2 linked regions of the Neurospora crassa OR74A genome follow. The protein of the gene in region 2 purifies or fractionates together with the protein of the main gene of each other region. This does not show direct contact. Links are inferred from orthologs where the notes say so. Each region holds a gene or a part of one and is shown on either strand. Other genes may lie near its edges.

Region 1 (4,615 bases), on a different chromosome or scaffold from region 2:
CCATCCATCCACAACCCGGAACCCCCATCCCAGCCCAGCCCCAAACATTCCCAGACAGGCCTCTCCCGACACTCTCACGCAGCGGTCGTGAAACCCCGCACCACTCCAGACTTGGGCCTGAAGCTGACACCCTAAGCACCACTAGGCGTGCCAAAACCACCCGGCACATGTATCCGCGAACCGATGGGTGAGGAGGGTTGCTAGATAACCGAAGATGATGCATTCTCGTTGAACTACTGCGTTTTTTTTTCCCCTGTGTCATACACATCCACATATACCGTACCGCCTCAATTGCCAGGTAGATGGGTTGTCAGTACTTGCCTTGCATTACCATACATAAACACCTAATCAGTCTCCATTCCCTATCAATTGTCCACCACCACCTCCTCCTCCTACTCCTCCTACTCCTCCTCTTCCTCCTCCTCGTCGCTCTCATCAACATCCATTCCCTCCTCCACCATGACCGAAAACGCCGGATCCTGATCAACACCGACATAGCTGTCGCTCATCAACATTAGCTTCAGGTCGTGGCGACCAGGCGTAGGCACCGTAAACTCCAGCCTGACGTTGAGCTTCTTGCCAATGGTGACCCGCTTGATCGCCAGCAGAGTCTTGGAGCTCTCCTCGCCAACCACCAACCACCAATTCTCCGTCTTCTTGCCAGGGTAAAACGGAGCGTGCACCGTAGGATCAAACTCCTCGTCCTCATCAACCTCGCGCTCAATGTTGATCTTGAGGTATGCAGGCTCGTTCGCCCGAATGTTGTCCTTGTCTTCAAGCTCGAACTCCAACGAGACGTCGGGGTACTTGTTGTTGGTGAACTCGGCAGCCTGGGCGAGCTGGGCCTGAGACAGACCAAGGTCCCTGACCAGAGAGGCGTAGTCGGCGTTCTCCTCGGGGTTCATCTTCTCCATAAAGTCGAAGATGTCTCGGATACCGTACTTGTTGGCCGTTTTGATGACCTCCGTCGTGAAGTTGGGAATCTGCTTGAGCGGGCTATCCCGATCCCACATCGCTTGCACCACCATCTGGGACATTTCCATGGCGTTCATGGCGTTGAGGTGACCATCCGACGAGAGAATGTCAACAGTAGCGCTCAGCAGGCTGAGCACCTTGGTGAGGATGACCTCTTGATCCTTTGCGAGATCGATGGGGAGGTTCATCCTGGAGAAGTGGGCCTGCAAGAGAACGAAGGCCTTGAAATGCGGTGAATCAAAGACAGGCTCGGCCATCTTGACGGGGACACTCTCGTAAATGCGACGCAGAATGACTTCTTCATGTCTTCTGATCTGGATCGCTTCAAACTCGGTAGCCGACGTCACGATCTCGAGGATACCCTTCAGCTTTGTCTTTGCCGTCAGCGAAAGAAGGAAGGTTTGCATCGTAATGTACGAGATGTTGTAGTAAGCAGCAATCATGGCGGCGTTCTGAGGAGCAACGGTGCCGTCATCCTCATCGAAGTCGATGATCTTGGACTCGGCCAGATCCTTCAAGGTAGCCTCAACCATGTCGGAGAGATACTGGCTGAGACCGTCGTGCGTAGGGTCTGTCAAACTGTAGTAGCTTGGGTTGGCGAGCAGGCGGCGGTAGAAGTAAGTAAAAGTAGCCCAGTTGATGGCATCTTCACCTGACTCAATCATCTTGGTGCTGATTTCTGTCACGAAGGCATCGTGGAGGAAATTGTGCAGATGAGACTCGACAGGGAGGGCTTCGTTGAGGAACTTCTTGTAATACTCCCGCTTGACCGCAGGAACCATCAAGACACCGCAACCACGCCCAGCCTTATTCTGCTGGAGGGCCTTGCCAAACATTTGCAAAACCTCGCTCAGGGGATAATCAACATAGCGGTGCTCCCTGCCCTCGAAATACTGGGTGCCCATAACAACTACCAGATGAGCAGTGCAATCAAGCTCCCAGCACACATCGCGAGAGGCGATCAGCACCTGGATGGCGCCGTTGTTATAGAGATGCTTGACGATGCGCTTGTCATTGAGACTCAGGGCTTCGTGGTAGTAACCAACACCGTGCTTCAGGGCCTCAGCTAATGCCGCTTCTTGAACGCGATCAAGGAGCTTTTGGATCTGCTCAACGTCTACATGAAGGAAACGATCTTCATCATCGTCAGCCAAGCAGGCGGTGAGGATATCTCGTGCCGTGGCTCTTGTTTGCTTCCGACTGGGCACGAAGATGAGAGCAGATTGGTCGGGAGAAAGCTGAGTAACGGCCAGATAAGTAGGCTTTGCCATCGCCAGCATGAGGGACGGAAAGTGGGGGATGGAGTATGACTGAATGTGCAATTCCAATGGAATAGGTCGCACATGCGGGCTGAAGTTGTAAATGTCGTGCTTTTTCGCGTCGATCCATTCGCCAACATCACGAGCGTTGGCAAGAGACACACTGAGGCCGACAATCCTTAGTGGCAACTCCGTTTGGGTCCTGATATAGTGCATCCGCGAGACGATGATCTCGTAGACGTAGCCCATCTGGCCACCAAGTAAGTGCAGCTCGTCAGCGATGAAAAGCTCTACCGTCTGAACGTTCTTCCTCCTCTTCCACTGCCGCGACAGGACATCCCACTGCAGCGGTGTGGCCATGATGAGGTCGCCTTGCTCCAGGAGCCTAAGGTCAGTGGTCGTCTCTCCTGTAAGCTTCACAATGTCCTTGCCGCCGCGGAGGTTAGCAAACCGCTTCTGCCAGTCCTGGAATCGCAGATCTACGAGTTCCTGGAAAGGTGCAATGTAGACGGCCCGGCCGTGTTCCTTCTTAGCCCAGTGGCGCAGCAAGGCAAACTCGGCACAAACAGTCTTGCCACTGCCCGTTGGTGAGCAGATGAGGACGTTGTTGTCAGTCTCGTACAGGGACTTGAAAGTCTGTGTTTGCACCTTGTTGAATTGTTGCCAATCAGGATACAGCGCGGAATAGTCCTTGGCCTTCAAGGCATTGACCGGTAGTGGTTGCAGGTCAAGCAGTTCGGTGTGAGGAGGGAATCTCTCTGGGAGAATGAGTTTCCTGAACGACACGGGCAGACGTGTCTCGGAATGCATCCACCTGTCGGAAATGACGGAGATAAAATAGTTGGGGGGCATGGGCTCAGTAATGGGTACAGTGAATTCAACAATGTGTTCGTTGGACTCGGACTCCGCATAGTCCTTGCGCAGGATGAACTGATCATGGAAAAGAATGTCTTCCCCATCGCAATCTTCTACGATAATCCAAAAGCTCTCGGAAAGCCCATGGATATCGGCATCCCATTCGAAGTTTGGCGTGATCGCAAGCTCAATGCGCAGCATCGACCTTGTCATGGGCTGCACCTGGGCTTGGACCTCGACGCGGGGGAACTTGGCCACCAGGCTGCAAACAGTCTTGCCCGCCTTGGGTAGTCCGAGAAGCTCGCCCATCCGAGGAGGGTCCAGATCGAAGTAGCTGGAAAAGGGCACGTCGATCCTTTCAGCCTTCCTGATAATCTCAACAGGACAGTTGGGGAACTGTCTCAGCGGCGACATGGTTGGCCACATCCTCTTCTCGGCCATCTTGCACAGGTTCAGGGCCAGCTTAGCAACTGATGCCCATCCCTTCTTCATCGTGATTTCAAAGATAGCCCGAAGAATACGACCAGCAGATTGCGTAACGTAGACCATGTCAGCCATGAGGGCGAGACCCTCCAGCTTCAGACGAGAGATGAACGCCTGTAACAACACGTTGATCTTTGCGGTAGGCTCCTCAATGCTCTCCTTGACCGGAATGGGTACCTTTGCCAGGAGCTTGGCCAATTCCAGCTTTTCTTCTTGCCGAACAGGAATGTACTTGAATTCGGCGCTCTGAGCGAATACTCGGAAGAGTTCGACATCGGTGATAGAGGGTTGAATCAACTTGTTGTAGGTATCCATCGAACCATAGCTGATGTAGTAGTGCGAGGCGATGCGGCCAAGTTCAGTGGACTGAAGCTTTCCGGTCTTCTCGTCATACTTGATTAGATTTGACTTTTTCAGCACAGTAGCAGCGGAATGTATTAGGTCGACACGTTTTTGCTCCAAAGCTTCATCATCCTCGTACTCTGCCCCAACTTGGTAAAGACCAGGAGAGCGAAGCATACGAACAAAGAGGTAGGTATAGCCAAGCCACTCTACACCTTCGTCACGGCTTCTGACATTGCCCAGCACGATTTCAGCATTGAGGTTATCAACCAACTTGCTAGCAAATTGACTTTCAATGGGTAACTGCTGGTTAAGGAGCGAAAGGTAGTACTGCATCTCTCCCTGGGTGGTGATGATGATACCTTCACCATAGGTGTCGAACTGAGGACGACCGGCACGACCAAGCATCTGCAGCACATCCTGAGGACTGAGCTCAACCCAGCTACCTTTTTCAGGCGAGTACACTTGCGTGCCCTTGATGATGACGGTATGGGCTGGAAGGTTGACACCCCAAGCAAGAGTGGCTGTGCACACAAGAACCTGGATATGGCCACTGGCAAACAAATCTTCGACGTCGGTACGATCAGCACGACTCATACCAGCATGATGGATACCGAAGCCATAGGGCAAGATATCCTTCAGATCGGTGTTGTTGACAGAGTTGGAGGCTTCGCTCAGGACTTCACGGGTTCCGGCGTCGT
Region 2 (3,332 bases):
GAAGGTAAGTAAACACAGCGCTTCCTTTTGTCTTTACTTTCCTCTGCCCCTTGGTGCCATTCAAAAAATTCTGTATGTATCCTAACGTGCACTAGTCCTCATCCTCTCCCACGCAACCACCATCAAAACCAAATACCAGGCCATGCTTCATGTCGGCCCCGTCTCCCAGACATGCGCCATCATCGACGTTGATCGTCCGTTTATCAGGACCGGCGATCGGGCTACCGTCGCGTTTCGGTTTGTCCAGAGACCCGAATACCTAGTCCCGGGAGACAGACTTCTCTTCAGAGAAGGCAGAACCAAGGGGTTGGGTATCGTCAAGAGTGTGGGGTATGATCCTGAACGGCCGTTGGGCGGGGTTAATGTAGGTGAAGGGGGTGATAAGGTGGCTGCGGGCGTTGAAGATGTCAAACATGAGGGTGGCGGTAACGAGGTGAAGGTTGGTGCTTAGTGACCTGGCACCTGGTGCTGATTTGGCGTTGGGCAGATGATGTTGTGATGACCCAAGTTGGGGGCCGCGTTACCTTTTTTTCTTTATACTTTCTTTGATGCATGGCCTCATCTCCTCGTTTTGATGGCTCATATACGGAGCGGCGCAGTCAGGGCACAGTACAGAACTAGTGGTGACCCACTACTTGCAGATATTCAAGTAGTAGTAGGAGTAGTAGTAGTAGTAGTATCATGGACGATATGGCTTTTGTATGTGTCGGTGGAAGATGAGTGACCTACAGGTATTCTCAAATGAACATATGAAAATTCTTGAGCAACGTACTGTATTCTTTGTACGAGCGATCCTTTTCAGCCTCCTCAGGAGGAAGGAGATTGCCTGGCTATCAATGCTCCATGGCCGGGAATAACAATGGTATATCTGTGCCGTGATCTATCTTTCGGCTCTAACGACAAACGATGAACGTGATGTGATGACGGTGATAGTCACATCTCAAGCCAACTTCTCTCCTTGTATCTCTCTCCTATCCTCTTCCCGAAGCTTGGTTACCGGTTTCCTTTGTAAGCGCCGCCCCTCTCGACCTTGAGGTAGCCACCACCTAGGTAGGTAGGCTTAGCGACGACCCATGTCCAACTCCCACTGAGACAAACCTTCGGCTGCTGACTGTCCAGAACCCTCCGCCGTTGCCGTTTCCTTTCCCTTCTCTTCCAAATGCTCCTCCTCTTCCCTATCTACCCCCTCCCAAAACTGCGCCTCATCCGCCACGTGCAATAAGTTCCACCTGCCGATGGGCAACCGGTCCTGGCCAAGCGGGCCACCGGAGAAGGGTTTGATGCCGTAGCGGTGGCGGAAATCGTGCTCGTCAACTGGTCGCTCCACATACACGGCCTCTTCTCAAGAACGGGTAAAGGGCGAGATGAGCACGACGGAATCGCCGCGAACGAAGAGCATTTCGGACTTGCGGGAGATGGTCTGCCTTTTTGTTAGTATATGAGAGTGACGGAAAGGGAAAGCAAAAAAGACAAACGAGGTATGAGAAGGAAAGGGGAAGGAGGGTGGGTATAATGGGAAAGGGGTGAGAGGTGGTTTGACGAGAGAGTGGCGGTGGGTAAGTGAAAAGATGGCATACCTTCAGGTCATCCTCCTCGGTATCTTCATCATCCACGACGTAAATGGTCTCTTCGACTTCCCCGAGGACAAGGTTGCAATGGGAGTCGTAGGCCTACATCACAGTATCCGAGTTAGCAATGAGTTCGGGTGGTGGTGAGTGAGGCGTAACGGGAAAGATGTGACGACTGAAAAGGGGATATGTAAACATAAGAGTGGACTTACGTGCAGACGGCCCTTGAGCTCCCGATCACCTCTCAGCTTGACGCAGACAACCTCGTCAAGCAAAAGGCGGACGAGGTCCATGGGCTCGGAAACAGAGCCGGCATCTTCTACTGCGTCGGCCATTTTGTGTGATGTGTGATATCAAAAGAGCCAAAAATAAATAACGAGTGAAGAGAGAGAAAAAAAAATGAAGTTGGCGTTGTGTTCCTGTTGTTGATGGCGGGGACCTCAGCTGCAGCGCCCTGGAACGATGATGAGTGAGTCCAGTGCCAGTGACGGACGGCGGGGGGTTTCCATGCCTGCCCGATTGGAAGCGCTCGCTTCGGTGCGAATTGAGGTCAGTGCCAGCTGGTCGCATGCCAAGAGCAACTGAAGCAGCCCGACGCACTGACCGCTTCCGAAGTGGAAGCTTGACCGGTTCTTAAACGCTTATGCCAGAGCTTCGGCTGGGCAAGGTCTTGGCAGGAACAGGCGCCCAAAGTGACAACAGGCCTTCCCCGGATTTGCAAAGGCGGGCATCGCGAGATCCATCGCACTTCTCCTCTTTGAGTTAGCGGGGTTGACTTACACCTCGACTTCAGTTAGTACCTAGGCACGCCCACCAGGGCACTCAGCTCCCCTTCAACACCACGGCCGAGCTTCAATTGCGGACGAAAGTCGCCAATGGGGGTGGTGTACAACGCCGTCAACCCCAATTTGCAACCCAATGGCTGCCCTTCTCTCCTGTCGTGGGGTTCGAGTTCCTTCTCCGAAATCTCGACGACTAGCCTCCGCCGTCAACAAGCTCCAGAAGCTCCCCCATTCTACGACCCAAACAGCAAAACCCATCTCAGCAATTCCATACCCAGGCAACTTTGCCCACCATGGATTCGGTCACCAACTTGACGGACCTCGACAGCCCCTCGAGCAAGATGAGCTCCTCCTCCTCCGAACCCTTCTCGCAAGACCCGTCGTCGCAAAGAAGCCACCTGTGACAAAACGGTCGCCTTGGATAGACGGCTTCACCGCGGCCTTCAGACAACCCCACAAAATGCTCACTTATTTCAAGGAGAACAAACTCGAGATCCTTCAACTTCCACCAACAGCATTCAGCGAACTTCTCCGCTCCGTTGACCCCGTCGAAGCCGTTCACAAAGACCAAGATCCGTTAGGAGACATATGGGTCGACCCAGCCATGGCCGATTGGTCCCCTTTGGGGGCTCTGGTCAATAATTACGGCGTCAGAAAAAGAAACACCGACCTTTACCCCCTAGTTCACGAAGCTGCCTTTCGTCGATTCCGCTCGGGTTCTCCCCTTCTTTTGTCCGACTACAAAGTCCTGCTGCGATGCGCCGGATCGATTTCGGACCCCCTCTTGGCTCGCAAGATCTGGTTCCACATGAACGTCTCTGAAAAGATGTGGGAGCGCCAGACGGACCTGTATGCCGAATTTCTCAAGGCCCGGTTCTTGACGGAACCGTTGTATACCCAACACAACCGGCATGACTTCCGCGTCAAGCCTGTAAACCTCTTTCCCGAGCAGCGGTTTCTGCCGTACTTCACGCCTGACAAC

Evidence for each region.
Region 1: the proteins of NCU09512 (region 2) and NCU02685 purify together in Saccharomyces cerevisiae (affinity purification with mass spectrometry; 7 studies listed by BioGRID, with this or other methods). This does not show direct contact. The link is inferred for Neurospora crassa OR74A from reciprocal best matches to the Saccharomyces cerevisiae genes LSM3 and BRR2.

The regions. Positions count from the first base shown.
Region 1 is NC_026501.1:3,194,154-3,198,768, forward strand, and holds part of NCU02685 (pre-mRNA splicing helicase), read right to left. Parts: coding exon 402-4,615; 3' UTR 1-401.
Region 2 is NC_026503.1:55,326-58,657, forward strand, and holds NCU09512 (U6 small nuclear ribonucleoprotein), read right to left. Parts: upstream 2,068-3,332; 5' UTR 1,904-2,067; coding exon 1,781-1,903; intron 1,671-1,780; coding exon 1,578-1,670; intron 1,421-1,577; coding exon 1,343-1,420; 3' UTR 757-1,342; downstream 1-756. Other genes in the region: NCU09513 (GTP-binding protein 1), read left to right, coding at 1-4, 96-451; NCU09511 (hypothetical protein), read left to right, coding at 2,487-3,332. UniProt on the Saccharomyces cerevisiae protein: Component of LSm protein complexes, which are involved in RNA processing and may function in a chaperone-like manner. Component of the cytoplasmic LSM1-LSM7 complex which is involved in mRNA degradation by activating the decapping step.